Caenorhabditis elegans: one gene and its partner. The protein of the gene in region 1 interacts with the protein of each later gene in a pairwise test. Each region holds a gene or a part of one and is shown in the gene's direction. Other genes may lie near its edges.

Region 1 (16,249 bases):
AAGAGAGCGAGCCGTCCTGTACAGCAACCAATCAAGGAAGTTTCACTTTCAAAAGAGGAAAAGAAGGATCTCAGCGTTGTTGTTTAGATGCATTTCTATTATAAAATTGCTTCTAAAAGTTGGAAAGTAGGATTTTTCATCTCGAAACTCTGAGAACTTCAATTGTTTAATGTATATTTTGTAATGATTGAAAACGCTTTAATACATGATACTCGTCATAAATAAAACTGACTAGCTTCGAACTTGATTTTTTTCAATTTAATTGTGTAAACTCAAAAAGTCGTATTAAAGAAAAACAGTTTTTAAAGAACTATCCAAGAAGAAAAATTTCAATGTGTTAGTCGCTATAGGCATTTTTTTTGTGAGAATTCAGGAAAAATGACGGAACAAATGGATTTTTGCCTGAATGTACAAAAATCGACCAAAATTCTAATATTGCAAAAAAATGTTATAATGAGTTGATGTATATCGTTTTTTTAGTTTGCAAGATTTATGTGTTCTACAGCTTGAAATTTTAAAGTTCACTTTTCGGATAGTACGTTATAACCTATCTCCTCGAGTATTTTTTAACGCCCGATTCAAATTTTCAGCCATTTTTGTCAACTGCAAAAGGTTTCACATGTATTTAATACGTGCATTTCTACCAGCTTTCCATTTCTACACTGATGACTGACACTTTGATCAGAAGCTTATCCTGGCATTCAAAATCTACCTTTTTTATTCTACGATTTAAAAAAAAACTGCTGAAAATCACATAACTGAGATCCAGACAGTTTTCAACTGAATACGTTTCAACTGTAATATTCTGTGATTTGATTCTTCAAAGTAGTTATTGAATAAATGAGGAAACACACGCAACATGTTCCTTTTTCAATCACTTTTCTGCGACACAAGAAGACAAATTTTATTTTAGAATCAAAACCAGATCATCATCAGCATGAAGCCTGTGGCGGCGGTTGTTGGACGAGGAAGAGGTTGACAAGGAAAAAGATGCAAAAAAAACTTTATGAAAAACTAAATTGCGTAAGAGAAGGGAAATGCTAAGATGTTGCGAACAGATGTTATCCAAGATATTATCATCAATGGGCACTTCCTCACTTCATCAACGATGACCGTCTGAAGTGTATATGCATGGTTTAATTGTCAACGTCATGAAGTCTACAGGTAAAAATACGCTCGGAACCCGATGTGCTTACTCAATGTTTAAGTACTGGTTAGCCAACTAGCCTGTCCATGCCATTCAGTTTCTTCTCACCTTTCTCTCACTCTCCTTTTCTCGATTTCAATTTCTTTGATCTTATTGACTTCAGAGTGTTCTACCTCAAAACAGTTTTACCTCCCTCTTTGTTTCATTAGCTTCATATTTTTTCCTCTCGCTTTCCCATCGAACCTTTTCTTTGTAATTTTACAACTGCACAGGACACGACACTCAATCTCTCAAAAATTATCACAACGACAAAGGCTTGAACTGTAATCTGCGGCAGGCGGAGGAAAAAAAAGAGGAAGTATCATCACTTGCCGTCATTATTATTTTTGTTTCACTTCAATCTTCTCACGCTTCACTCGATTTCGATTAATTATCTATTCACCTTTTAGGTCATGATCTTCTTCTCGGTGGCTTTGACCACACTGCTCGTAGGTTTATCTAATGGATGTTTCTGCCCGTAAGTCCCGATCTTTAATTTTTCCTTCGATTAATTATCTTGAAGGCCCGTAATCAGTCCATCTTGTGGATGTGGTGGAGGTGGTTATAGTTCCTACTCTGGCGGTGGATATGGTGGTGGATACGGAGGTGGTGCAATCAATGGATATGCTACTTTCTACAGAGATCTGACTCCGTTCAGACAACCGTATTATCAAACTGCTTCTTATCCACAGGTGAGGAATATCAGAGAAAAATCGAAATAATACAAAAAAGATGAGATAATCCACCTCAAAATGCATTAGTATTCCGCTATTTTTTTTGGGTTTAGTGTACTAATTGATCACCATTCAGACTAGACTTTTGGGCAGTAGAAAATGAAAAAAAAGTCAATGTTACTGAGGAATATCTCAAAATTCCAATTTTTATAAAATGAAAAATACATTACTTCTTTCTAAATGCCAAATGTAATCGGCTTTTTTAATTAAAAAAAACTAACAAAATTTGGAGTAAAGAATGTTTGACCTAACATTTGAGAGACTGATAGTGAAGCATAAATTGAGTTATTTTCCAAAAACAAAATCAAAATTAACGTCAAAAGTTATTGAAGTGTGAGTTGAAAATAGTATTATTTTAGTACCAACAAGGACCAGCTCAATCTCTTCAACAAATGTATCAACTTCCAAATCCTCGCTACATTCAACCACAAGCTCCTCGCCCACAATACATATCACGTCCTGCTCCTCGTCCAGCTCCTGCTCCATATCAACCACCACGTGTTCAAGAAAGACCGTATGTTCAGCCTGCTGCTCCAGTAGCTGAACTTGCTGAAACTCGAAAAAATACTCTTCATGATAACGGATATGGAGAAGAAATTGAAAGAACAACTTACACTCCAGTGGTTACTGCTGCTCCAGTATATGAGACTGATGCACCAACTATTGTCACTCAAGCTCCAGCAGTGGAAGAAGTACCAGATTTCGATGAAACTCCGGTGAAAAAGGGAGAGAAAGATGAATTTTACTATGCATATTATGACGACAAGGGTAATAAAGTTGGAGATTCAAGATCAGGAACAACTTTTGCACCAGAAAATGTAATTGTTGAAGAGGAGGCTACTGTTGCTCCAGCTCCAGCATCTATTCATATGGATGTTACGGTAAAATAATTTTTTTTTATATTATTATAGTGGATAATAGATTTTTGGATTTTAGACCGAAAGAGTTGAAGTAGCGAATGAAAACTACGATGATGTTGTTGAAGAAACCCAGGTTCCAGTCAGAACATCTCTTTCTCCTAGTTATACTCCAGAAGTTGTGACTAGTTCAACTGTCCTCTTCATGGAACCACGAGTAGAAGCAAAAACTGTGGCTCCAGCTGCACACGAGAACACAGAAGGTAAGAAAAATTAGTTGTTTAACGTTACAAACGAATTGCGATATTTCATAAAACCTTTCAGTGGTTTACGAAGACGAGACTGTTGAATATGAAGATGATGGGCACTCAGAAACTTCTGAATTACCATCAACAAAGAAACCACAGTCGGCAGAATTCAAGCGAACAGTTCAAGACAATCAAATTCTTGTTGATGCAGCTGAAAATACGGGAGAAGGATATCGTCGACGTAATGCTGTCAACGGAGTTCGAATTGTGAAACGGTTTCGACATGACGAGAGAAAAATTCATTCTAACTAACTTGTTTAGTAATAAGGAAAAGGCACTTATTTGATCTCAGACTTTTTTGAATTTGGAACACCCAAATTTTTGTATCGAAAAACATGGTTCTTAGAATAATTTTATTGCTTGATATTAATTGAGATTCAATTTTAATTGAGATTCTGATATTAATTGAGATTCAATCTGCGTCCTTTTTCTTGCTTATTATCATTAAATTCCTACTCAATTTCACTTCAGGTTCATTGTCATATTTGTCAATTTTTGAGATCTTTTTTTCATGATTCATCTAATAAAGTAAATCAGTCTTATATTTTTTGTGTACATATCACACTCATCATCGTACATTCAAATTATCACGTACTATGTGGCCTGTGATAAAAGACAAATATACCTAGAAATTGGAAAATTAACCTTCATATACATAGACATAAACTTTCCCAAACACGTTTTAATTCTCTCTTGTCCCTTTAAACGTCATAATTTATGACTACTCTTATCAAAAACTAACTTCTCTCTATCGATACGTATTTTGCATTTCGTCATTATTTTTAATTGTAAAACCAGACACCTCCAAAAACATCATATGACAACGACATTCATGGCTCTAAAATAATTTGGGTTACCTCGTGTTTTCGTTTGATGTTCGAACAATTAATATACAATTCATTACATTTGCAATATCGAATTGAAAAATAGGTTTTTGTCCCTCAGACTTTACCTTTACTAAGTAATATAGCACTATCATTCTCAATGTCTGACTCAATATTTTCTCAAGTAGTCGCAATGGGAAATAGACACTGATGAGCCAATGGAGAAAAGAAACAGTCACTCAGTTGACATCACATTTCCTTGTGATGTTTGTACTCTTTTCTGTTTTCAATGAATATGAGTTTCTCACTTTTTATTTACAGACCAAACTGTATTGAGTAAATAAGGGGTGGTTGGGCTTTTGGATATAAAAATGATTGCTATTTGATGTTAAAAATCAAACGTCTAGAATGATTCGAATCTTATTTTTTGCTTTATTCTTAACTTCTGCAAATGCTATTTTTAATCTGATAGGAAGTGATCAGTATGTGACCGTGACAGGGAGATTGATTTGTGATGGACAGCCGGCATCAGATGTTCTTGTGAAATTGTATGAAGATGGAACGAGTAAGTTTGATTGAAAGTTTTTTTTTGAATCATTTGGGATTCCATGGTGGGTAGCAACATTTTCAGGCAAACATTTATGAAGGTTTAATACAATTATTAAAAAGTCAATATGTTCTTTGGAAGTAGGCATGTCGGCACGAGGCAGTTCACACTGAAATTCAAATTATTTTTCCAGTTTACGACACAAAGCTCGACTCAACAAGAACCAGTTACGATGGAACATTCAGAGTCTCTGGACATTATACAAAAGTTTTTGATATGGATCCGAAAGTGAATATTTATCATAGCTGCAATCATTACGGTGTAAGTGCAATTCAAACACAAAAAAATCTACATTAAAGAACATTCAGATGTGTGACAAAAAGTTGAGAATTGATATTCCACACTACGCAATCAACTCTGGTCAAAACTTCGGAGTAGACAACTACGACATTGGAACTTTAAACCTGGCGGATCAATTCAGTGGAGAAACTACTGATTGTATTCATTAGCAATTTATCGCACTGATCTCTGAAGTTTAATAAATATGCACTTCATTTGCTAAAGTTTAAATGATGAACTAGACATAGACATTTAAGGGAATTGCGTCAACATGAATATTATATTTTAGAATTGAAAATAAGTTTAACTTTGCAATATTATGAAAACAAAAAAAGGAAAAAAGTTTCCAGGAACTGTTTTGATTCCAGATTATGATAATATTTGTATTATCCGGAAGTTATGTTCTCCAGTCAAAAACATAACTGTTCACATGACACTTCCTCCATCTAACACCTTCAGAATAAAATACGTCAGAGTATATGCTGAATAGAACTCTTCTGTGCTAATTGGCTCATCGACCTTTGGGATTGTCTGGTCAGAACGCTGACTTCAAGTTCTCCTTTCTGGTTCATTTATTCAGTTTGAAATGCTTACCCCTCTCTTCTTTCTTCCGGCAGCTTATGGTGTTGCTTCTTCCTACCTGTACACTTTGATCATTCTTATGATGATCAGAAGATGGAATGAATACAACACTGCGTTTTTCAAACTGTTTATTATAGAATATGTTTTTGTAAGTTCTGAGGGATTCTGTTTTGCAACAGATCTCTTGAAAATAGACAACTTTCGTATTTTTATTTGCAAGACAAGTAGTTAATGAAGAGAAGGGAAACAACTAATCATATTTTTGTTCATTAGTGTGAGCACACTGCTAGAGCAAAAAAACTTATTACAAAAAAACTAAGTTCATTAAAATGCTCAAACTATCATTATGTGACTCGCAACTGAAAAATGGTGCAGTGACAGAGACTGCGATCCTAATTTTCGAAAAACGTAGTCCAGTGCAATATTTAAAAATGCTCATAAAATAGAGAACATACAATATGGTACTTTCCTAAATAGCTTATATGAAAAAGATAATTTTTCTACCGCCATTGAAAATGTCTTCACTGTACTTCATTATAATGAATTTCAGAACATGGTAACATTTGCCAATTCATTTGTTACTCTTCGCGCCCCTCAAAATACTTGCAACAATTGTACATTTGCATTTCTTTTTGAGAGAAATTCTTCTACAGAAGAAGATAATTTTCCTCTTCAAGTATTCTTTACCATTCACTATTGCATGGCATTCATTCAGTATTTCATGACATTTTTATCTTCTCTCAACCGTTTGACGATGGTATTTTTTGTTGACAGTTATGAGAAAGTGAGTTAGGAGTTCATGCTATTTAGAAGACCTCGAGAGAATTTTTATTACGATTTTTATTAAGTGTTTTTGTTATTTCAGATATGGCGCCCGAGTCTTCCTTTCCTTATTATGATAGTTATTATATTCCCTATGATTATGACATGGCCAATTGCGACAAACAACGCATACTTTATCTATTCTCCAACATTGGGAGGATTTGCAACAAAAACTGTAGCCGTATGTTTTAATTTTACAATTTGTTGCAAATGTATTCAAACTCAATGAGATACTTTTTTTAAAAGTGTGTCAAAGCGTACATGAACTCAAAACATTTTTAAAGTCTGAATTTATGAATATATTCAATTTTTTCGTTTTTCAGAACTCAACAGAAGTGCTAAACTCGCTAGTCACATTCATGATAGTTTTTACATTATTTACCGCAACTGCAAACATTGTCTCAATAATTCGTCTGACTCTTCTTCCAACAAGGATCAGTGGTGCAGAGAGAAATCTGTTTACTGTCAGCTTTGTTTCGTTCATTATTCAGCTATTAGCTCTCGGAGATACGGTATTTAGGTTTTGCCTCCTCAGTTATTCAATATTTCAATACTTTTAGTTGATTCTTCGCGCCGCACCATCAGAAGGAATGTCAGTCGGAGCCCAAACTGCAAAAGCATTGATGCCTTTTGTTAGTGACATACTCACTTTCAATCATCCATGGACTATTATGTATTTTAGTACCAAGGTAAATGATATATAATTCTGTGAAACATGTCTTATTTTTCTAGGTACGTACGTCAATGGCAACAGACCATTTTCCCAGTCTCAGGAGTAGAGCTGTCATGGTAACAAGTTCCGTGTACTAACATATTTTTTATTTACTGATTTACTGACCAATGTGAACATACGCATCTTTTTTATTTGTGTTCTAGAATATCAAATTTTGAATAAACACTCACATAAAACAGTTTTATTTGAAAAAAATTGATTACATAAATTTATTCCTGATTAGTGTCCAGTCGGCTAATTGTGCCAGAAATAGAGTCCAGTTCAACAAGATCACCAGTTTTAAAGTGATATGTTGCATTGGAAACTGCAATCAAACTTGGTAGTCCATACTCTCTTGCAACAACAGCCCCATGACTGAGTAGTCCTCCAATCTCGGTGACAATTCCACTGATAATTGGGAAAAATGGAGACCAACAGATATCCGTGTATTTTGTAATGAGAATCTCTCCTGGTTTTGTCTCTTTTGCTTCTTCCAATGTTTTGGCAACTCTTGCTCTGGCTCTAACTTTTCCTTCGCATACTGTAGTTCCTCGAAGAATGATACCAATATTTGCATCAGTTTCAGCGATTTCTATTTTAATTGGATTCATGTATCCATGAGAAACAAGTGGAAATTGGAGACCTTCAAACTTCGATGAAATCTGTTTTCTTCTGATTGCTCTGGAAACAAGTTTTGCACTTCTTGTTGCATTCAATTCTTTAAGTTCGTCCATTGAGAAGTGCATCCAAAGATTTGGATCAGGAAGATATCCCTAAAATTGAAAATTACTTGCAGCAAATTTTAAATTAATTCACTTTTTCATACAACTTCTTTCCAACCATTCTGCATGCCTTTCGAAGAGAATGTGTCGTGGAAACTAAATGATTTTTTGCTGTTTCTCTAAATGAAACTCCACGGTGTGTCTGACCGATGAAATATTTCAAAAGTCTTCTGAAATGTGTAAATGCATTTTTTTCAAATGGTTACAAAAAGTTTCCCACCTTCTAATACCAGTCGGCTTGCATTTCAAGTTATCAATAATATCATCTTCATTCTCAATAGTCTTCCCAGACGTTTCTGGGCAAGCCAACATACTTTTAATTGTATGAACTAATAAATTGGTGTCCTCTTCCCAGGTGGTAGCATCTAAATAAAGTTCTTTCGGCCCTCGATGTCCATGCAATTCTAGAAATCTTCTCAATTCGTCAGAGCTTTTCTTTCCGTTTTCAAGTGTTTTCAAAGCCTCATCGTCTTCTGCAGCACAAAATTCTTTATCAATACTCTCTTCTCGAATGGTTTTTGCAAGTTTCTTTAAAGAATTTGGAACGTCAGCACTGATTACATCTCCACGAGAGTTATTGGAGAACACATTGGCAAAATCGGATATATTGTCATTGGAAAGAGGTCCATCTGAAAAATATTTTGAATGGAAGTTGATATCAGATTCTATAAAATTTGAATAATTACAACTTAGAAATACTTAATTTCAAGAATCAAAAGGAGGACAGATTTGACACAGAAATCATAATTTTATAGGTATTTTCAAGTATGCTGCTAAATAACAAACACAATTTTAAATGATTAATGCGTAATCATCAATTGTGTGAACTCTTAAAAACCTATCAAAAATAGTATTTTAAGGAGAGCTTAACCCTTCCTTAAGAATTCCAGTTAAACTCTATATCATTTGAAGGCCTTTCAACACTTTCCACAAAAACTAACTGTCACTTCCACGAATAAGCATTCCACATAGCACATATGTGAAAGAAGAGAACATTGAAAGACTGGTGTGACAATGGCTTGCATCACACCACAACTTCTCAAGCTCGTCATATTTTTTGAATACTATCTCAATCGTCATTTTATCATTTGGCACCAGTTTCTTTGCTTCCTCGTCGATTTTGACAATTTTCGCCTTCACACTGTTTGATGTAAAATATATTAACTTGATCATGTTGAACATTCTCTTCAACGGAAAGAAAGGTGAAACTTTTCCGTATTGATGAGCTGCTTGTTGGAACATTTCCGCATTGAAAAGAGTTTCTCCAGCAATCACTATATCAGTAATTCGATCTTTTTCAACCAGTTCCCAAATTCGAAGAACAACTTCTCCCAAATTGAAAAATATTTTACGGTGTGCAACGGAAAAGCCGATTGAAGTATGTGCCGGCACAACATCATTGAGCTCTTGAAATGTCATTGACTGAAATTTTGTTTATAATTTAATTTTTTTAATTATATTGTTATTCTTACTGCAATGACTTTATCAAACATTCCAGTTAAATTATGAGCTTCCATGGCATTAACCGGAACTGGAAGAACTTCTCCAACATTTGCATTTGTTAGAATTTCTTTGTCATGAATACTTGGCGAATTATATTCTGTGCACATTTCAAATTGAGTCTCCTTATCCAAACCAGTAATATCTCGACTTTGAACAATATTAACCATTTGATTTCTAACAACAAATTCAATATCTTGAGGTTTTCCAAATATTCTCTCCAAGTACTCTCCAACTTTGGTAAGTTTCTCAATCTGATAGTCATCCAAGCAACAATCGACGCCAACTTTCTGAAAATATTTTTGTAGTACTTCTTTATTGACAAAAAGGTAAAATATAGCAAAAATCCTTTTAAGAAAACCCAACTTACATTTATGACCACCGTTTTATGGATTCGATTTACGTAAATCTCATCTGGTGTCGTCACACCGCTCACAATTTGTTCCCCACTTCCTTTCAATGCATTTATCACAATTTCTCCACGATCTAATTTTACTGGATTTGCGGTGAACATAACTCCAGCCACTCCGTTTCGATCCATTTCTTGAATAACTACAGCCATTGACGGATTAAGCTGCTGACCGTAGTTTCTGTAAACGTCACATTGTGATTGAAATTTTAACTTGTTAAAACCTACTTTCTGTAATTCAATACTTCTCTTCTAAAATTAGAGCCCCAACACAGCTTCAGTTTATCAACTATATCAATTTCAATCACATCCAAGTAACTTTCCAGTTGTCCAGCTGATGAAAGATCTGCTCCATCTTCTCCAACTGCAGATGATCTTACTGCATAGTATTCAGAACGCGGTAACCACTCCTTAATTTCTTTTTGCAGTTCTTGAGACACTTCACTTTCGAAAAGAAGCCCTTCAATTCTAAAATATGTCATGTTTCTAAATATTGGATTGATAACTTATTTTATTACCTTTTACCAACATCCTCATAATACTCGGCATTTTTATCGTTGATATCGAGAAGTTTTATTTCTTCTAAAACATTTGGATTCGCAATTACATGCTTGTTGAAAGCTGCGGTAGTGACAACTATTCCAGGAGGCACATGGAACTGAAAATCTATTTCAACATTGTATATGCTTACTTTCAGAACTTACATCATCGGTGATTGCTTGAAGTCTTGCTAAATTCGCACCTTTTCCGCCAGTTAACATTTTATCCTGACATGCTCTGTGATTGAATGAGACTACTGATTTCATCTTTTCTGATTCAGTTGCATGATATTCCGGGAAACTATCGGGAAGTTTAGTTGTAACTTCATGAATTGCCTCTCTCACTCTAACCACAAATCCAACTCCCGTAAAAATTGCAGAATTAACTTCTAACGCAGTAACGTCGACAACCTTGTTGTCTTCTCGAATAAACGTGAAATGACATAATTTTCGTCCTTTTCTCATTTCAAGAGGGAGAAGTCCACGTGAAACATATTTGAATTGAACTGGAAGCATATTATCTGACTCAAGGGAATGAGAATTATCAATAATTATTGGACGAGCACTGTGATCTGAACGGAATCCCACTCCGTGACTAACTGATTTCTTTTCATCTACAGAGTTGACACGATAGGAAATTGCATTTGCATCCTGAAAACTACTTTCTTAAGCGGGATAAGCCAAAAAGTATTTCTACTTTTCTATAATACAAAAAAGATAAATAAACCTTACGCTCAGGTATGTATGAAAATGTGTAGAACTTGTCTCCAAGTCTAATGGATTTCTATGACGAAGTCCTGAAACTTTGATGGAATTTGGTTTTTGTATCGTGTGTTTTCAACCTCTATATCTATGTTCGACAACTTCATCTTTCCCAATTTTGATTTCTGCGTGATATTCACCCATTTGGTTTAACACATTTCCTTTTCGGTACCTAAAGTTGATATAACGTATTTGTAAGAAATGATTCAGTCACTTTTCGATAGTTTTCAAATTCTCAATCAGTGCAGTTGGTTTGTCATTGTAAATTTCATTGAATGACTTCAAAAGAGCATTTGAATAGAAAAATCTAGCATTCGACACACATTTCCACCATCCCGAAAGTATAACAAAATGAGAGTTGCCTTTAGCATCATTCAGGTATCCACGGAAATTAATTCTCCATTTACGGAATGGGTTTCGAAGCTCAATTAGCAATGGTCCACATGAAATTGTTCGATTATCGGAGAATACTGCTTTGTATGATCCGGAATAAAGAATTCCTTTTTCGAAAACTCGAATATGAGCAAAATGAATTTCATTCTTTGTTATAACTTGAATATACACAAAACTATTATCTTCTCCAGAACCGCTAATTGTTAGAATTTCCTGCAAAAAAAGGACGAATTTCGTGTCTATTTTTATTATTCATACTTCATTTTTAATATGTTCCAGTTCCCATTCCTCTTTATCAGGGTTTATAATGTCACGAATCTTTGCAGTTGGAGCAGTGAACTTTCTGAAATTGTATTGAGTCTACTGTAGCCTTTTTTAGTTTAAAAAAAATCAAAAAAATCTCGGTAATTCACTAGAACTTATAAAAAGACAATATGCATGAATACCATCAATATGCAAGAAGGGAACAGTTAAAGATTTTATTTTGAAAATGTTTTAAAAGTACGATTTCCAAATTTCGATCAGCGAAAAAAAATGAGTGGTATTTAAAGTATTGCAAAAACGTTTGAGTAATTTTTTAAATCAATCTTTTATCTATTCAAGCACATGTCTTTTCTTTAAATACTATAAGAGTGAACGAATCGGATAGTCATCGTTCATATTTTCCATAGAAATCTAGATAGAAGTTTCAACTTTTTGTCAATTTATCAAAGTATGGTTTCTGCTATTCATTCAAAAAAAAAAGTGTGCTCACTTGTTAATCAACTGATAGTATCAAATCACAATTGACAAAAAACTCGAATTTCAATATAGATAACCAGTTTGGGTCGTAAACAAAAAAGTGATCAATTGCCCCATACTGGGTCCATAATCACATTAGTACTCACTTGACCGGATGTCTCCATTTAAGGAACGCGTATATCACTGGATACAATACAAACTTGCATAGTGGAGCTGAAAGAAACAGCAAAAACAGGAATATCAACATTTGTTCTGTAAATACGTAGAATTTTATGTCAATAGCAATACATGTAAGAACATCAATAACTGAAGAGATAGATCTTGATAGTATTTTAGTAATCAGAGATAGCTTCAAGTGTACTTGTCTTGAAACGGTTTATAAAATAGTTTTAAAATGTATATATTTGCCAACTGATTTTCATGTGACACTTAGAATATCTATGTAGTTTGATAAAAGACTCTTGATTAAATCATTAAATAAATACAAAAGTACGTGCAGATTTGATAGTGATTGTGCTAATAAATTAGTGTTGTTGTATTGAAGGTCAAATATTTGTTGTTGGAAAATGGAAAAGATCAATAGCTTCTAGCAACTTATATGTCAAACTCGGCAAACAAAGATTAATTGAGAAATTTTAGTGAATTTTTAAGGCTCAATAATCGGGCATATTGTTTCTATAAAAAATCATCGCTAGACATTCATCTATATCACATCATAGATGAGTATATCATAGCAGAGCTGTCGGTTTTTTGCTTTTTTGGTTTTTTCGTAAAAATGGATTTTTGATTTTTTTTTCAGACCAAATTAACAGAAAAATTGTTTTTCAAAGATGTTATGTTTTAGTTGGATTGATGAAAAATCGAAAAAAATAGAGTGTTTTTTTTTTGGTTTTCTGGAGAAATTCGATTTTTTGTTGTTTTTCACAGCCCTCACAAGGTATATCATCACAAGCCTATCATCACGGCCATATACTCTAATAGTATGACATGCAAGTCGAATTCCAGAGAAGTTAGTACTAAATAATAGAGAATACAATAGAGATGTCACACAATGAATAATCTATGGCAAGGGCTCGAAGAAGAATTCGGCAAAAAAATTGAATAGTTTGAGTACAAACCATGTTTTCCAAAAACGACCAGTCATTGCAGAGAAGTTAACTAGAAAGAATGTGAATTTCTATGTTTATACTTCTAGCATTGGTAAGTTCAAAAAATAAGAAACTGGAAAAGTTGAGTGCTGAAGAATCTTATGGCACATATAAACTGTGGCTGATAACGAAATGATTTGGTTGAACGTATAAGTAGTTATCAGGAAATAATCAATAACTAAGTTTATGACGATGATGATTTTTTCGATAACTGAATTGACGGCGCAAATAAAACCAGCCGACGTATTTAATTTCCATCTGGGTGGTCTTCTAATTCGAATATTGGATATGTTCTTTGCAATGTTGTGAATGTTTATGGGAAGACATTTTTTACAAGAAAAATCTTTTTGTGATAATGATAATGATTACAAATACACTAAAATGGGCTCTTTCTTCCTATGCAAAAAGAAGACGTTCGGACGGTGGTGAATCAGAAATTTAGTCATGGGCATCGTCGTGACCGTGATGTCCGTGATTACGGTACTTGTACTTGAGTCGCTGCTCTTCTGGAACGGCAAAATCGTAGACAACAGTTCCGGCTTTGATGATTCCGAAAAGAAGAGCCAATCGCCACACAATTTTCAAATATTGACCATATGGAGATTGACGGAAGAAGTCGGGGTCTTTGTTCTGAAATAAAACAATACAAATCGCATTGCGTTTTATTTTATGCTGTCACTTTTTAAAAATTGAACGTTTTCTTGTTTAAAATTTTTTTAATTACTTATGCATGAGAAAATTGATTTTTTTTGTAGTACTTATGCCATTTCATAACAAAATATATGATTTTGTGAAGAACTTTGAAATTTTTTTAAAAACATTATGGCGGCTTCAAAAGCCAAGTTTTTAGCCTCGCCGGACAGTCCCGACACTATAAATCTATAGCTGTGGAAGCTTTATGATCAAAAAATTAAAAATTCAGTAAACTAAGTACTAAGGTTATCTTATTTTGAAAGCATTGCAATTAATTCTCAAAACAAAAACATATTTTCGAACTATTTTCGAACCGACTGTACTTTCGGGAACATAATTAATTCTTTAAAAAACTCACAATTGCACGATAAGCAGCTGTCGTCTCCTGCTTGGCTTCACCAAACAAAAACATTTTTGGCATGTTGTTCACATTATCCCATTTTCCCTCACTTCCGAGTCTGTTGATTTCTTTCCAGACGGCGTGGGAGTCACTGCAATAATTTGAAAATTTATGATTCAAAAATTCACCAATTTAGGAAACTGTTTTGTATTCGAGGGATAGATATTACAAGCATTGAAAAATCAATTTTGTTCTTTAAGAGATCAACAATTTAATGCATTTTTTAATGCTTTTAAAGGGAGCAAACGCATATTTTTGGATAGATGATTAAATATTTAGTATTTCGGAACAGATTAAATAAGAAAGTGAGCATTTGTTATATTTGTTAAGAATAATCACTTAGTAAACTAATTGCATTACGAATACGAAAAAGCTATTGTTTAAAATAAAATTCCTGGTAAGAACACAGATATTTTCTGAAATATCGAAAATTCCATTGATATCGTTTTTTAACATGATTTCTTGACATCAGATTATTTAGCCTTTAACACTAAAAAAAACTTACTGAGAGTGAGACGATGCTTGTCGAACTGCAATACGTGCAACCTGGCGGCCGGCGTGAGATAAGCCTGACATGGCGAAATCACCTGAAAATAATTTTTAGAATTTGTGTTGAGAAAATGAAAATTTGATAGGAATTGTTCGATTTTCACAATTTATGCAAAAAACCTCAAACAGTATGGAAATTGTTAAATTATAGAAGAAAGAAAAAATAAAAATAAAAATTGCCCGAACACCAAAAGCGCGCCAGTGGACGTCGCTGACGCACTATTCGACGTACTGGCGCACTTCTTGCTAATATTTTTTTTGCGTTGACGTTGCAGATTTACTCCGTTTTTTCCCTTTCAAAAATATTCTCAATTTTTTGAAAATGAGTCACACAATTCTTCTGCTCCAACCGACAGACAACATCGAGTCACGTTCATGGTCGGATTATGAGAATACCACGGAATGTCTTGAAGGTGAGTAACAAAAACCAAATTACATTTTAAAATTAAAAGTTTATAATCAATTAAAAACTTTTAACTTATAGGAATCTGCAGAGTCTACGAAGAATATTTGAAAAAGAAGGTTCCGGCTCAAAACGAAATCACCTATGACATATCGCACCTTTTCGAGTTCATCGACGACCTCAAAGATCTTTCAATGCTGGTTCTCGACAATGTTGGTTTTTAAAACATATTTTAAATATCGGAAAAAAAATTGCAGACAACATACACATATGTCCCCCACAATAAGCAATATGTAAAGGAGAGCATCTACAAATTAATGAACAACAGGCTCAATAATCAGCACTGATTACCATCCATATGGGTTTCTCACTTCTATCTCTTTCCAACGTTCTCTTTTCTCACTTTTTACGGATTCAGTCCTAAGTTTTAAACTCTTTTCCAAAAAATGTGAAAACGAAATTTCATATCCAGTTATACAATTCATCCGCAACCACATGAATAAATATTTTTAAATGGTGTTATTTCTCTACGTTTATAATTACAGCAGTTGTTTTCTGTGTATTATTTATTTCATTTGGAATTAGTGATTTTCGAAATTTACAAAAATCTTCAAATTGTTCAGAATGATGGTGTCTCCTCCGCAAGAGGATACAGTGTTCAATACCGATTCAGATCCAGTTTATGAACGTAAGTATTAAACTATGGAAGGACTCGAGAGTTGGTAAGAATATTCAGATCATGCCGCTCTCGTTTCCTCCCCATTTCACGCTGATGAAGATCATACATTCGATATTTCATTTGCTGCAGAAGCAACGGACGACATGACATTCAATGATACGACTACAGATGGAAATGGACAAGAATCTGTTCCATTGGAGGCATTGACAGTAGTTGAAATAGAAAAAACATCTAAAGGTATAAATTGTATTTTTAAACGTCTATATAGTACTCATTTTACAGGTTTCGGATTCAATATAGTTGGTGGAACAGACAATCCTCACTTTGTTGGAGATATCGG
Region 2 (16,118 bases), on another chromosome or scaffold:
AACACTCAAGACAATAAAACATTTTACACGATGATATAGAACATGCCAAGTTACAGAATGAAGCTATAATCTATTGAAAGCTAGGAAAAAAATTATTTACAGGAACGAGAATATGGAGACGATCTGGTTTTGCTGCCATCGGCTCCTCTGCGAGTAGTTGGTCTCGTCTGGATAGGCGACATTTGTGCTTTCTCGAGAGACTCCTACAATTTTAAATTTTTTGTTTATATGTAAAAAACTAATAAACTAACAGTTATATCATCCACCGGAGAAGTCTCGTTTCCTCCTTGATCGTTGACAGATTCAGTAGTGGCCTGACTAAGACTTGTGTCACTGTCCTCCGAATTAAACGATTTATACAGCACATTCACTGGATTGAATCCATGCCTATCGGAAACTTTGTCCAGGTGTCGCTTGAGAGTCAACTCTGCTTCGTATGAATCGGACATCAACATGCTCCAGCATTCCATGTTTGCAGCGTGGCATCCTGGGCGCAAGTGACCAATGGTTGCCGATTGGATATCATCAGGAAGTGTGTAAAAAGTGGAAGAATCTTCGAAGCCATCAATGCGGAAATTGGATGGAGCATCGTTTGTGTACTCCAATCGAAAATTAGCCGTGAATTCTTCTGGCAACGGTTCGAGAACTTTTGTGCAGAGGAACTGAACACTGCGAACAATCGTCACCATTTGATCTCGTACGCTGTCGCCACCCTCGTATACAAGTTGAGCAAGCTTTGCGAAGTGAGGATCTTCCTGGCCATTCTTGTCAGTGCTCAGACGAGCAACCACGCCGCCATTCTCAAAATAAATGAACTTCATAGAGAAAACTTCGATGGCTTCAAGATCTCCTTCATTATTTGTGATCACGAGGGAGACTTCTTTCAGAAACCCATCCTTTGTTGCATCCCCAGCATTTCGAAGTAGTTGAGCGATTTGGTTAGACCGTGGGTTTCTGAAGCACAGCGTCATGCATTTCAGCTTTTCTGAAAAAGAACATTTACTATAAAATGTGATAAGAAAAACATTTACCAGTGATGTAATTCTTCGTGAAATATTCTTGTCCAAGAATGTTACGGTTCCTAAGAACAGCCGAAAACGCGACGTAGATTGCTCTGGTCATGAAATTGGATGATCGATCCGGGTCGCTGACAATCCTTGGGAAAAGTTTGGACCATTTCTAAAGATGAAAAAAATTACAATGGCCATAAAACCATGAAAAAAACCTTATCATCAATGGAATCCGCCGATTTGTTGAGCGATTCGTCGTAGATGGTTTCCAAGGGCGCCATCTGCAAAAAAACAGTCTCATTTTTAGGCAAGAGTTTGTAAATGTGAAATATAATATAATTCCTCGAGGAATACTATGCAAAGAAAGAAAAAACCCAATGACAAGCTTAAAATGATACACTAAAAAACGAAAAATTATTTTCGAAACTAGGAAACGATATTTGAATTTTAAAAAACACAGAAAATCGTCAATTTCGAAAGCCTAGGAAAGAATTTTAGGATTTCAAAAATGCAAATAAAATGCTAAATTAAAGGTACATCGGATTGGGTAAGTCCATTGGTCTCGCCACGCAATTACAAAAGCTCAAAACTATTCAAATAATTTTTGACTAAATGCAGCTTTTCCTTTTATTTTAAAGTAAATTTTTCATTCATTTCAAAACTGTCAACAAATTTGATTACTAGAGGTAATTTTAAAAAGTACTATTCTTTAAAAATACGCAAATGCAAGTGAAATTCGCTAACTCGTGGTGAGGCCTAAATTTAGTTTACTGACTGCTCCTTTGATTACTGTAACTTGTTTGCTATTTTTAAAACGGTCTGAATTCTCATTTTTGGACGAGTTTGCCTAAATTTTCTCCTTTCAAGCTCAAAAAACGTTTATCATTGTTTTCAGATGCCAAACTATCGAGGACGTCATCAAACGAGACAGAATTGGAGTTCTAAGCCAAGAGAAGAGCACTCCCCGAGGTATTTGAATAAAAAATGTCATTTTTTCGAGTACTTTCTTTTCAGCAAAGGCGCATACAGGGACAAAATCTGGAGCGGTCCAGTCAGTGAGGTCGCCAGGCAACAAACGTATGAAACTAATTTTTAAATGTTCCTAATTTACTTATTCTTCAGGGTGTACGACTGGGTGACTACAGGTGCTTATTCCCTTGGATCGCCAGACTCGTGGCCATCTTATCCGGACGAAATCATAGTGAGTGCTGTAGTACACCGAAAAAAAGTTAATTTTTCTTGTTTTAGCTGATGAACGAGTCCCGAAATGCTCAGACATCCCGCATGTCGCGTCGGTCGGCTACTCCCGGTCCAGTGAGTTTATTTTCTTCATATTTTCGTTATGAGACAAACCTTGGTTTCAGAGATTGTCACAAGATAGAAGGACAAGAACTACAGCACCCGCCGTTGCGCCGATTCCGTTTCAGAGGGCACAGCCTCGAGTAGAAGTGGAGAGACAAAGAATCGACGAGCCTGTCGCACAGGACCTGATTATCGATGATGGGGTACCAGAAAGTTTCATTGAACATTAGCTGTAATGTATTTTTGTAGAACGGTACCAACAATTCGAACGATTCGAGTATTTGTGGCTTTGTGGAGGAATCCGAGGAACTCGTATATCCACAGTGAGTATCTAAATCAATTAATTAACTGAAATTTATCATTCCAGGTGGGTTTACTATCTGTACCCATTGATTCCTACCGCGCCTAACTGCAACAACGAGAAGTCGTACAAAGAAGGTGGCAATTGGTACAACTCTCCATGAATGATCTCCCTCTCCAGCTTCTCTCAATCTGTCATATTTCTTATGCCTGAGTTGCTCCTCATTTTAAGAATGTATCATTCTCATATTATCTGTCATATTCTCACTCCCATCATGCCCGTAATCAAACCCCCGTCATTCATTTTTCTCTGTACCGGTTAAGAAGTTCTAACATTGTATTTTCCATGATTCTAAGTCAGGAGCTTTTTCCCCATTATTAATCCATAATACGATCGAAGGTTATTTACCATCGATGATTGGAAGGTTGAATTAATTTCACATTGTTTTCTATGAAACGTTCATCCGATCCTCATTGACCATTCGATCCTTTGTTATATTTTCCCATTTTTACTGTACCCATCACCTCATACGCATCCTTTTAGGCTAGAAGTCTGCATTAGCAGAATAACTTTTGAGCTTTCACCGAATGTCTGTCCCATGTCTGCTCTCTCTTTTCCTTTTTGTTTTTGTTTTCCTCTGGTCAATGTTTCAATTCCTTCTGGTTTTTTTGAATCACAATAAACATTCTCCAGAAAATTGTCTCGATTCTCACTTGTTGTGTTGAAAAATATTCACGGAAATCGTTCGGGCAGTAGGTTAGAATGCGGAATTCAAAATCCTGGAATAAAAAATAGTTATGAATCTGTTACATGTGATCTTTGTTGTATCACTGATCACTATTCCCGTGTTCCTAGCTTCTTCACATGCTTCATCATTCTTTGAGCTCTGGTAACTTATTTTGCATGGCGTGTTATCAGTGAGTTGTTGAATGGTGTGACATGAATTTCCGAGAGAAAAACTATAGAAAATAATTATGTATTTGGGGACTTTCGAAGTACAATGAAATGGGGGAACGAAGCATAATGGAAAAAATGATATAAATTATATACTATCCTTATTAATTATTCTGCAATCAAATATGGAAAAGATCACGCAAGTTTGGAGGAAAGATTGGGAATGGAAATTGACTAGATTCGTTCGGAGATTCAGATGAATACTTCGTCGATTATTGAATACTGAGCACGACCCGGTTGAGGAATGAATTCGAGCCAATCTGATGGAGTATTCGGTAGAAGACCCATTGTATGTACTTTATAGATGGCAAGACCGATTGCTCCGAGGTTTCCAAGGCAGAAGATGAGCTTGTGAATAAACATTGATCCAGTTGCAGGGCTCTGAAAATGTTAGAATATTTTTTTGTTTAACGCCTTCTCCAAACAACAAAAACTAAAAGGTACAAAAACCAGTACTAATTAGCTTCAAACTATAGTTTGTGGGAACTCGCAACTTACCTCAAGCGGTTTGAATGTGGAATTGACTGCGAATAATGCTTTCAGCGGCCTAAACACCATCATTCCGACCATCATAATTGGGAAAATCGACACACCGCCTCCGGCCATATACATCATGAACATGTTCATCGGCAGAGATTTAGCTGGTCCCATTGCAGTGTCCCATACTCGTTTTCGTGCCAGATGCTCGTGTTGATCAGCGGATCGATCGGCTTCGGCCTGAAAATTGAGAAATTATAAAATTAAGGTTTTAATAATAAGCAGATTTTTTTCTTTCTTAATGTTTTTTAAATACACAATTTTAGCGAATAACTGTTTTTTTAAGACTTTTCAATTCTCGAAGAAATTCAACTCACGCTATGTTGAACGGTGGCAGCTGTCGAGTAGAAGCCTGGCGGGTTAAAATTACTGTCCGCAGTACGACAATTCTTCGAAGAGTAAGTGTAGTCAAGTTTCCAAGCCGATAGTGACATTCTGGAAAAGAATTGAATATTTAAGAGCAAGAAACAAATGGCAATGAAAATTAATGAAAGAGCAAAAATCGATAAATACGCCAGGTGGTTGCTGACGCGTTCTTTGATCGCGTTGGCGCACTCTCGGTGTCGGCATAAAATTTAAACTGATATTTTTCTTCCCTCGGCGTTTATTGTTGTTTTTGTTTTTTCTCTCGGTTTTATTTATAACTTTTATAAATTTTTCAGATCAAGATATGAGTGGAGCAGTTTATGGAGGAGGTATGGGAACTTTGATCTTTTAAGTTATAGATAAAACGCCGTTTTCTTTGCAGACGAGGTTAGCGGCTTGGTTTTCGATGCCGGATCTCAATCATTCCGCGTGGGATTTGCTGGAGAAGAATACCCAAAGGCAAGAAACATTTCAAGAATTGATAAATTTATACCTTCAAATATATTATTGCTTTATTTTTTTAGGGAGATATTCCATCATACATTGCCGTTCAAGAAGCACTTCCTGATGATACTATTGAGAAACAAGAGGCTATGGAAGAAGTACGCAGTTTCAATTTTTAATTCATTTTCAATGAAATCATTATTTTTAGGGTGATAACTCGAAAGTGCAAACAAAACGCGAGAAGAATTTTTTCATCGGAACGACCAAAATCATTGTGCCACGCGCCAGAACTAACATGGAAAGTTTTATGAAAGAAGGATTAAGTGAGTAATTTGACAGAAGTTAAAGTTAAAGTTAAAAACAAAAAAATGCTTTTCAGTCGAAGATTGGGAGTTGTTCGAAAAGATTGTGGAACATTCGTATGAGAATATCCTCTACTCCAATCCATCTGAACATCCGGTTTTGTTTTCTGAAAGCTCGGTAAGAACATTAAGGATTATTTAATAAGAAACACTTGTTTTCAGTGGAATGACCGTGCTCGTCGGGAGAAGCTGACTGAGATCATGTTCGAAAAATTCCAAGTCCCTGCGTACTACCTCTCCAAGAATGTTGTTCTTTCCTGTTTCGCACAAGGAAGAACGCACGGATTGATGGTTGATTCTGGAGCAACTCAAACTTCAGTTGTTCCTGTTTTCGATGGCTACGCAGTGACTCACGCGGTGGTAAAATGTCCAATCGGCGGCGATCTCATCACAGAACAACTGGCTCAAATGCTCGATCAACAGAAGATTGATGTTATTCCGACTTATAGAATCGGTGGAAAAGAAGAAGTTAACGAAGGAGAAGCTCCAAAATGGACTCCAAGGAAAAATCTACCACAGGTCACGAAAAGTTACGATGCATTTATGAAAAAGATGCTTTTGGAGGATATGGCAGCCACTATGCTCCAACTCTGTGATACAAGTATTGATATGGACTACGTCGACAAACTTCCATCGACACCTTATGCTTTCCCTAATGGATACACAAAAGAGTTCGGAGCCGAAAGAATCAAGCTTCCAGAGTGTTTATTCGATCTTGGATACCTTAAAGCTGAGGGAAAGAAGGATGGATTGATGACAGTGGCTCAAATGGCAGCAGCTTCTGCAAATCTTGCAGATATTGACATCAGACCGACACTCTTCTCGAACGTCACAGTCACTGGAGGAAACTCGTTGATTCTTGGATTCACAGAACGGCTCAACTATGCTCTAGCCACAAAGTGTCCACCGGTAATTCTTCAAAATTAAATAACGCTTATAAAGAATAAAATATTTCAGACGATCAAGCTCCGAGTATTCGCTGCTCCAACTCAAGCGGAACGGAAGTACGGCGCATGGATCGGAGGATCAATTCTCGGATCTTTGGTGAATAATAAAAAGTTTAAAAATCTTATTTTAATTCCATATTTTTTGTAGGGAACATTCCAACAAATGTGGGTGAGCAAGGCCGAGTACGACGAGAGTGGAAAATCGATTGTCGAGAAGAAGTGCCCGTAAAAACTTTGTTTTAAAATGCTTTCAAGTATTTATTCATTAATTTATCAATTCTCTCGTGTATTTATATCTTCTCCGATTCACAAGTTAATTCGAATCGTCGACATCCAATAATTTTCTCTCCTCGATCTCAACCAAGAGAACCCCTGAATTTTTATATTTTTTCTTTGTACGATTTTCTATTTATTCTGTGTATTTCGAAAGTTGTGAGCTTAAACTTATTCACATTTGAAATAAAATTATTGCTGATTAAAAAGCTAATCACAAGATGTTTTAATAGGATATCGATCCCGAAAAAGTTTCTATATTTATTTTGTTTTGAAATTTCCGCCATCAAATTGTAACATTTTCCCGATGCCCATCTTTTCGTTAATACGAAAAATGCAATGCCACGTCAAAGATGAGGTACTGTACATTGGAAAAAAAGAATTCGAAGAGCCAATAAAATCGGAATGGGTTCTAGAAATGCAGAATACAGAAAAATACAAAACAATTGGTAATAATTGAGATAAAAAGCAGGAAAACTTAATTTTTCTTATTTCCAGGACCAACGTTTCCAGATGGAACAATTAATTGGCAGTGTCCATGTATGGCAGGTGGATCTCTGGTAGCACATAGGTACCTTCACCAGATTAAATAAATAATATCTTCCGGTGTAGCTCTTTCTTGTGATAAATAAACAATACTATTAATATATTTTAAACCTCGAATTTATCCAGGTGCGGCAACTTCTTCCGAGAGCTGTACATTTGTATGAAAAGCGACGACACGAGAGATCCATCGGAAAAATGTCCAAATCAATTTGTAAATTGGGCCGCCTGTATGCAGAATATGAGTGGTTGGTTAACGAATTATATTTTAGAAAGATATAAAAAAAATGTAATTTTCAGATGAACGACGAGAACAAATGCGGAAGGCGATGACTGTGGATACGGAAGAATTGAAAATTAATCCGAAATAATATTTTTGTATTATTATTTATATTTTTCTAAATATTACTGTAGGTCGAGTTGCAATAAACATTTTTTTTCTGAAATCTCTTCTGAGCATCACGAATTGGAATTTCCCAGTTAAATACTTTATTTCATAGAATTATTCGATTTTCATAGCCCTCCGTTTTCAGAATTTATCGAGAAAAAAGACCAAAAAATGTCCAAAGACGAGATTTTAAAGTTGGGCCGCGAAGAGTTTTTCAAATCGGTAAAAATGGAATACCGACCATATTTTGAGCCATATGAGACACCTGGTATAAAATTTTGGAAAAAAGAATCGGGAAATTTCGAATTCTTCAGAATCCGTGTATCCCGACGGCAGCATCAACATCGACTGCACCTGCCTCCATTCTGCTCTTGCTCATCGATGTGGATATTTGATAAGAGATGCTTTAGTGTTAGTAATATTTTATAGAAACGCAATAGTTTTGATGAGAATGCAATTGCGCTCCACAGCTAATCAAAAACGCTCCGCCCCCTAATCATGAGTCTCGTTTGGCGGCGAATATACGGAGATTTTTGAAACCCCTCTTTTTGAAAACATTAAGGGTTTGAGCGAATTTACGCTCTACAATTTCGAGTAGTATTTTTGAAAAAAAGTGCATAATTAAAAAATGTCTGGGTTTTTAAGTTAACGACAGGTTTACAGAAAAACATTTTGGTTTAAAAAATTCTTTCAAGAAATCTCCAGCCTTGCCGCAAATACCCAACGAGACCCAAAAAGTTCATTTTCAGATGCTTCAACGCTTCGAAAACCACACCACGCGGCTTGGACTGTGAGAAGGAATTTGTGGCTCACGCAATTTGTACAGAAGAGGCGAATAACAAATCCTAAGCTGTATTATTCCTTATTTTGAATCTGTAATAAACTTTGCAATCCTCTTTGTCCTTTGAAAATCACACAAAAAAGAATAACATCGCAGGTAATTTGAGCCGAAACTCTTGGGAAATTGCTCACTTTTCACTTGGAAACACTTTTTGGAATTCTATTCTTCTCTCAAACTCTCGAAACCGGAAAAGTTCCTTGAAACGGAGAAAAGTGCACGCAATTTTCTTTAATTCAATTGAATTGTCCCTCGAGAAGTCGTGACTCCAATTTTCTTTTATAAATTTTTTCCTACGTTTCCCTTAAAACCTGATTGATTTGTGATTCAAGTTGGTTGGAAATTTCATTTCTTTCTTCAAATTATGCCTGCCAAGTGTGATAAGCAGCTGTCACTTTCAGAATATACATTTTCCTTTTTTTTGAGAAATGAAATGAGCTTTTCTTCTTGCTCTTTTTCTTGTTCTTCTTTTAGTATTACCGGTACAGAGAGTGTAGATAGTTAGAGAGTGACAGACATCCGGGACCCAATGGGGCGGGGCGCGCGGAAGAGATGATTTGTGTCGATATACGAAGTTCTCCTCGTTGTCATCATTTGTCATCATCAAACAAGATCATGACTAACAAATGATGGCTTAATGTAAACAAAAAAAATAATATTTTGGTTATTTATAAGAACTTAAAGGTAGTAGGAGATTTCAGAAATGCCAAAACTTAAAAACGAAAAATTAAAAAATATTAAAAAAAAACTATTTTATACAACGAGATATTCCCATTGTGACTTATGTATCTTCCTGTCTGAATTTCCGCAGGAATTAAAGCTTCAAAACCAATTTTTGACCAATCAGATGGAAAAAATGGGCTCAGATTCTCATTTCAAAGGGGATTCAAACTCTAGAAAAAAAAGTTATTGGAATTTCTGATTTTCAGACTTTTAAAGAAAATATTTTAAATCAATCATTCACGCTACTCCACCTCTAAAAACCGAATTCATAGTCTTATTCCAGTAATTCCAAAGTGACGTGTGTATTACCTCCAATTCAAAGATCATGCCATCAAATTGCGGTTTTTCAAGGATTTTCAATGTTTCTCTCCTATAATTAACGTCCTTTTCATTCCATTTTTTGTCAAACTCATTTCCATATCCTTTTTTTTTAGACTCTTCTTCTTTCTTTTTCCACTTTAAACATATGTTTATGTATGTATATCCGTTTTTCTTCGCCGTTTCCTCCATTTTCTTCGGCTGCTGCTCCTTTTTTTTGGGCCGATAATTCAATTCAGTCCTGTCTTTCAATGGAAAAGAGGTCCTCAAGAAGAGCTATTTTTATTCCTTTTTCTCTATAATAATCACAGAGAGTGTATCATTTGGAAAGCCGGATGGATGTTCGATTTCCGGTTTTCCAGTTTTTTGAGCCAACATTCTAGCTGTCCTACATTGATTTCTTTATTTTTTCTGAAAATTGACTTTGGGACTTTTTTTCTCTTTCTTGGCGTGCCTACCTCTTGCCTATTTTCATTTTGAAATAAGACACTTGTGTAGGCAAACGTTTAGGCATCATAAAAATTGTAGGTAGGCTGGCAGGTTATTTGTGCCTACCTGAAGACCTACTGTGTAGATGTTAGGTCTTCAACCTGAATAAAATAAGTAGTGTACTTCCTTCTTAAAATACGATTCGGGTTCCAGAACTTAAAATGATTTTTTAAATTTTCAGGTCTTCCCATAAGTTCACACAGTGGTTGCTAAGTTTGAGCAATTTGAAATAGTCACGTCTAAAACTGCTCAATAATAATCTTAACCATACTAAACATGTACATTTATAAAAGATTCGATTTTGTTCTGTCAGACGTGTTCAAAAGTTTTGAAAAATATACAAAACTTATGGGAAGACCTGATAAAAAGCAATGAAAACGGGAAGTTTTATTTTAAAAGTTTTAATAAAAATAGAAAATCATTCAAAATCGACGAATTGTGCTGAATTTTTAATTCACGCGCAAATGATTTTATGTTCTAGTTATCTAAACAATATTGACAATTGTTGACCCATTTGATAATTATATTTTTCACCTTAATTATTTATTCCAGAATTAAATTTTGTGTCAGAGTTTTTCAATTCTAAATTCAATTTTAAAATTTTAATTATGTTCTGTTGTACTCAGTGAATACTAATAAATCGAAATGATAAAACAAATTATTACATTTAAAAGTTGCTTTCTAACTAACTCTAACTATAAGTCATCTAAAATAATTAACTTCATAAATTTATTGAAACAGTAGTTTCTTGCCAAAACGCATTTATTGCAGAAATTTACCAAAAGTCTCTCTCGTTTACTTTAATGTTTCCATCAACTTCTATAATTAATATTTTGATTCCAGATATGCCTACAGTATCCCAATCAGTGATAGGAAATAGTGCAGAAGAGCGAGAACTTCAAATATGCCGTCTTGGGTGGTCTCTTCTTCTTTTGTGGTTGGTTATGATAATTTACATGACAAAGGCACGTTTTTGTTGTTTGGCTGTTAACAATTGATATGATAATTCGTTCTTTTTTTTGTAGGAGATTTGGTTCGGTGAGACTTCGATCGGAATAGAAGAAGAACGTTTGATTCGGAAAAGAAAACGGTCAATTTATAGTTTTGATTAGGGTAAGTTATTTTTACAATTCTTCAATTTTGGCAACTTTTCATGAATCTTTTATTGCAAATGTTGGACGTTTTTCTCATGTTATTTCAAAAGTAAGCTTTGCACTGCGACACAAAAAAAGTGGCCAAAATTGCAGATATTAGTTATTTAAAATCGCCATAAAACCTTTTTAGAAATTTTTTTGGAAAGAATCTTCAATAAAGTCAAATCAAACAATTTGAAAATACCGAAAAATATGAAACCTTTGCGAAAATGTATCGACATTTTTATTAATATTTATACTCATTTTTTTAAATCTAAGCAAATTTTGCTTTATTAGAAACATTTTCAAATAAGTATATAAAATCGAGTTGCCTCACTGGTGAAATATAACTATTTCACAGTGTTTTGCAAAATTGTTTCAACCATTACTCAAAGGAAATTTATAAGTTGAAGAAAAAATAAATTATGCATTTTTTTGGTTACTAGATATTCATTTCATAATATACCAAGAAAAACACATACCTTTAAAACAAGTTTTTTGAAACAGTCAAAAAATATACTCAATTAAAATAGTATGAAGAATCTAAAGTTTCACAGCTAGTTGTTTGCTTTCGTTTGGCTTTATTGCCCTTTGTATTTATAGATTATTCAGTTTTTAAATCTTTCTGAATTAATGAATAATAGTAATTAATTAACACTACAATGAAGGTTTTTTGAAAACACTAAGAAAAAAATATAGCCGGAAATAGTTTAAAAATCCGTTTAGTTTTTGAGAAATTTCAGTTTTTCTTAAATTTTTTCGACGATTCAGAAATTAGAAATTTATTTTTTTAAATTCATATTTCTATAGTTCTGTAAAAGAGTAGAAGATAAATTTTGTTAGATTCTTAATTTTGAGGTTCAGACAATTCTAACAAAAACGCAGTGTTTTGAAAATGTTTGAAATTGAATTTTTCTGAAAATCAACAGTATTTAGCTACTTGTTAAATATTAAATCCAAATATCCACTGACCTTACTTCAACTATAAAATATGCTTTAAAATTTGGCACCAAGTTGAATAAAAAAAAAAGAAAACAATTTGCAAAATTTTTAAAAATTGATTATTTAAATGTTCTGCATATATAAAATTTTATAAAATTATGATTAGGTTCTTCACAAGTTTAACTAGACATCCACACAGTACACAGATATCATAAAAATTTAAGAATATTAAACGGAACACATTTGTTCTATTTATTAAAATAGGTTATTGATACAGTTAGAATTTTTGGATATGTGGCCTTAATACTTATTTTGACTCTTATGCTTCCAGATATTTTAAAATTCAAGTTGTTAGTCTGATTGTTCTAAATGTTCTGGTTACAAGATTTTTCAGACAACATTTCAAGAAACCAATAAAAAACAAGAAAACACATGTTTTTGAAAGTATGATAGGATTGAATAATTAAAATTGTAAACATTTTTATGTTTTGCTTGAAACTGTAAAATTTTTTAAAGCCAAAATATACGTTGTAAGTGCAAAATAAGTATTCTTCTTATTCTCATGCCACTTTTTGTATCAAGAACTATTTTTTTTTGTCCAAAATCCGAATCCCAACTAACCAAAAAAAGACAGAAGGGGGTCCAGAGACAAAAGGTTGAATATAATTGGAGGTACAAACGACGTGACGAGAGGTGTTTGTTCTTCCTCATTCATTCACTCGAGCCACACTCTTTTTCCCTATAGCAACACCTTTTTTGGTTTTAGTCTTCTTTCCAAACATATTTTCTCATTTTCCAGGACCTCGGACCCCTCATTCATTCTCTCTTCCTCTTTCTCTCTGTCACTTCTACTCTTCTAGGTATGTGTTTATGAATGTTCGTGTCAAATTAAATATTCCAACATTTTGTCTCTAAGGTATCTATGGAGTAAGTTATCACGCAATCCCCTGCCTTCATCCAAAAACATTTATTCCTGTTTCACTACATCATGATATCGGCCGACAACTTTTGCGATCGACTTTATGTTGGCGGATTTTCGACAAACTTGAGCAGTGAGCAAATTCGGGTAAGTGTATGAAATTGGATAGGCAAGCGAAGAGGTGTAAAAGGGAAATATGATTCATTGGGAGGTGGACAGAGATGTAAAATTATAGGTTAGATTAACGAATTGACGTTACTACCAGGAGTGGGCGGCAAATTCGGCAAATGTGCCGTTCTATGCAAACTTGCAAAAATTTGTAATTTTTAGATGTTTTTGGAGCACCAAAACTGCCTGAACAAAAACATACGTGCCTGCCACACACCTTCCTATTTCTGAAAGTACAACAATAATCCATAGTGAACATTCAACAACAAGCAGTCAGTCTGACACAAAATTTCAAACAATTCAGAAACAGTAATTAATTTGAGAAATATTTTTTGAAAATTATTTCAGAACCATGTTTATTTATTTGGAAGACAAAATTATTTCTGTAGCTTAATTTGATACTATTCTTCATGTGAAATTGAAAAATTATTTACACCTGAACCGGAAAAAATTACTTTACTACTAGTGTTCTAGTCAGTTATTCAATTAAAAATGCATAATTTAAGTGAAACTCAAAACTCAACTCCAGACTCAAAACGACAGAAATTAGTAGGGCGTTCCGTAATGCAACCATATATTCATTTTAAAAGAAATAACCTAAAAACAAGGTTCAGAATCTGATCACCCAATTGGCTGCACCATTTGAAGTGAGCATTGACATTGTTGAAAATGGATCTAGAAAACATCGAGGATTTGCTTTTGTACAATGCAGATCACTTGCCGAGGCAAACGTTTTGTTGGCTAAATTTTCAGGGGTATGCTACTTTTTTCTTAGATTTTGATTTTTTTTAATGGAAAAGTCGTATAGGAATTCATTAAAAATTTCAGAGGATATTACAAGGGAGCCTTAATAAGGCACTGAAAAGGTTTGACAACAATGCTCTGATTGATTATTTGATAATCCTAGATTCAATCAAACCATTTCTGATTTTCAATTCCAATTAATGTATTTTTCTGAATTAATACTGTTTCATAAAGCGTATAAATAGTTTTTTCATAATTCAGTATTATTTTAGAATATACAGTAATTTGTATCCAATCACCCAATCACTTCAGATTTTTTTCCTCTTCCATATTTTTCTTTTATATTTGAAACAGTAATATTTTCAGCTCTTCACAAAAGTCAATTTCGCAAAGAAAGAGCCAAAACCAGCGGAGAATGTTATGAGCAATGTATGCTTTCACTCATTTGGAATAGTTATTTAATTTTCATACTTTCAGATATCAAATGTCTTCGTACGTGGAATATCTCGTGACATGCCGGATACTGAACTCTATCAAGCTTTTGGAGGAATCACTGACGGAGTTGTTCAATGCCACGTGGCAGATGGATATGGTTTTGTGCTCTTTGACACAAGAGCCAATGCACAGAAAAAGATAGTCGAGATGGATGGGAAGACATTGGTTGGGAAATGGAGAAACAAAATTTAAAGATTTTTTTTGGATTTTCAGAATGGAAAGCTGATTTCTGTGAGCTGGGCAAGACCGGATACTGTTGGAAGGAAGAGAAAAAGACCGATGAGTGAGGAAAGGTGAATCTTGTTTCATGTTGTTCAAAAATAGTTACCTAAAATTATGTATTATTGATTATAGTGTACAATAATAAAAAGAAAAAAAAATCTGTTGCTATATGCCGTTTTATACAATCAAAATTAGCAAGTTATTAGTTTGATGACTTCATAATTTTTTTTGTTTTTATTTTGTGATTTTTATCTGACGACTTTTTTTTCAATATTTTTACCACCGTTAAATATGTGATTATTATTTATGTATAAAATATGTGAAACTAGGATGCTGTCGAAAATTTGCAAATTTTTCTTTTGAAAATATTTTTTACTGAGAAACCGAAACAATGAAAGAAATAGATTGCAAATTATATAACTAACAATTTGATGATTCTCTGAAAAAACGAAATTCTTCTGTTGCTATAAGTCATTTTAAATTATCGAAATAAGGAAAACCGGTTACACTCCGTTTTGAACGTAGAAAAGTGAAAGACAGTTTGAAAGATATTCGATACATGTGTAGTTGGTCTAAATTTATGGCTTGAAAACTATGTCAGTTTCAATTACCAGAAACAATAATACAAACTCCATTTTCCAGCCCAACACCATCCAGCACTGATCTTGGACTTTCTTCTCTTCTCAAACGTCCAGTAATTCCATCTCATTTATTCCAATTACCACCACAACCAGCACAAATACTTCAACCATCACTTATTCCATTCCTTAACCCATCATTCCCATTATTATTCCCTCAGAATCCACTTCTAGCTCAACCTGATTTAACGCAATATTTGAATTTTTTGATGTAAAATAAAATAAAATTGTGGAGGAATACATATTATTTACGTAGCACAGCCTCAAGTTCAAAATGAAAAAAAACAAACGGCGGGAAATTAGAAAAAAAGAATCGAAAATCAATTATTCCTATTATTTTTTGATAACATAACGGCTGCATATCAACAAGCGAAATGACTGAAATTCATAACGCCGAGGTGAGTTCATTTTCAGATTTTCCGAGATTTTCCGTTCATTTTCAGTTAACTCAAGAAATAGTCATTGGATCGGTTGCGGCATGGCTTGAACAGATAAATGACTCAGCTTTAAACATTGATGTTTCATTTCATCGGGACATTAATTACAATTCCAATCAAGATTTGTTAGTTTTTACTTGGATTTTTTAAAATTATAGCTGAAATTGAAGCCTGTTGAAGTTCATAAACTTTACTTTTGTAATGAGCCAGTAAGAGAAACCACTTTATTCGAACTAGATTGAGGAAGTTTGAATATTTCCACAATTCAATCATTACTAAAGTTCATTTTGTGTAGCTGTTATAATTTTCATGTGAAACCGTAACTTTTACATTTCAGAACCGCCACCACAAAAATCGATATTCTGAAGGCAGATGACTTCCGACCAATGAAACGTGGACAACATGCGTGGAAAGAAAACGATCAAAAAATGATTCACAGGATGCAGAAAGAGAAGAAGGCAGTTAGTGTGGAACAAGGAATTGTCGGTGCTGTAAGAGGTAAGAGGGGAAGTTTTGAAGGTAGTGAAGATTAAATCGATTGAAACGTTTGAACTGTAGACATGAAACAGTAACCGATTAACTTCAGAATCATTGGAAAGCTGGAGAACGTCTTCTTCATCAGAAC

Evidence for each region.
Region 2: the proteins of erh-1 (region 1) and ZK616.3 interact in a two-hybrid assay, tested with the Caenorhabditis elegans proteins (one large-scale study listed by BioGRID).

What each region holds. Positions count from the first base shown.
Region 1 is NC_003283.11:10,577,927-10,594,175, reverse strand, and holds erh-1 (Enhancer of rudimentary homolog), read left to right. Parts: upstream 1-15,034; 5' UTR 15,035-15,149; coding exon 15,150-15,240; intron 15,241-15,311; coding exon 15,312-15,442; intron 15,443-15,487; coding exon 15,488-15,577; 3' UTR 15,578-15,749; downstream 15,750-16,249. Other genes in the region: T21C9.11 (DUF4149 domain-containing protein), read left to right, coding at 1-87; T21C9.9 (Prion-like-(Q/N-rich)-domain-bearing protein), read left to right, coding at 1,600-1,664, 1,710-1,878, 2,280-2,801, 2,857-3,040, 3,102-3,337; ttr-23 (TransThyretin-Related family domain), read left to right, coding at 4,318-4,474, 4,650-4,777, 4,825-4,965; srg-32 (Serpentine receptor class gamma), read left to right, coding at 5,382-5,525, 5,928-6,161, 6,243-6,380, 6,523-6,711, 6,760-6,888, 6,932-7,009; T21C9.6 (Phosphoenolpyruvate synthase), read right to left, coding at 7,142-7,684, 7,728-7,863, 7,914-8,322, 8,635-9,115, 9,166-9,483, 9,564-9,783, 9,831-10,070, 10,121-10,260 and 6 more; lpd-9 (LiPid Depleted), read right to left, coding at 13,624-13,815, 14,237-14,369, 14,784-14,854; mics-1 (PDZ domain-containing protein), read left to right, coding at 15,855-15,918, 15,967-16,146, 16,192-16,249. UniProt on the Caenorhabditis elegans protein: May have a role in the cell cycle.
Region 2 is NC_003282.8:5,390,267-5,406,384, forward strand, and holds ZK616.3 (CHCH domain-containing protein), read left to right. Parts: upstream 1-6,802; 5' UTR 6,803-6,803; coding exon 6,804-6,945; intron 6,946-6,994; coding exon 6,995-7,067; intron 7,068-7,168; coding exon 7,169-7,287; intron 7,288-7,339; coding exon 7,340-7,410; 3' UTR 7,411-7,485; downstream 7,486-16,118. Other genes in the region: htp-1 (HORMA domain-containing protein), read right to left, coding at 93-203, 252-985, 1,032-1,179, 1,226-1,291; ZK616.5 (uncharacterized protein), read left to right, coding at 1,906-1,979, 2,025-2,087, 2,133-2,211, 2,259-2,324, 2,375-2,515, 2,562-2,635, 2,680-2,776; perm-3 (ER membrane protein complex subunit 4), read right to left, coding at 3,760-3,948, 4,066-4,284, 4,422-4,538; swsn-6 (Actin-related protein 4), read left to right, coding at 4,775-4,799, 4,853-4,929, 4,995-5,072, 5,123-5,237, 5,294-5,394, 5,439-6,185, 6,234-6,320, 6,372-6,452; ZK616.2 (CHCH domain-containing protein), read left to right, coding at 7,599-7,695, 7,742-7,838, 8,177-8,276; ZK616.1 (RRM domain-containing protein), read left to right, coding at 12,859-12,936, 13,572-13,712, 14,068-14,130, 14,179-14,361, 14,410-14,489, 15,061-15,271; ZK616.61 (Titin-like), read left to right, coding at 15,431-15,454, 15,500-15,618, 15,831-15,991, 16,080-16,118.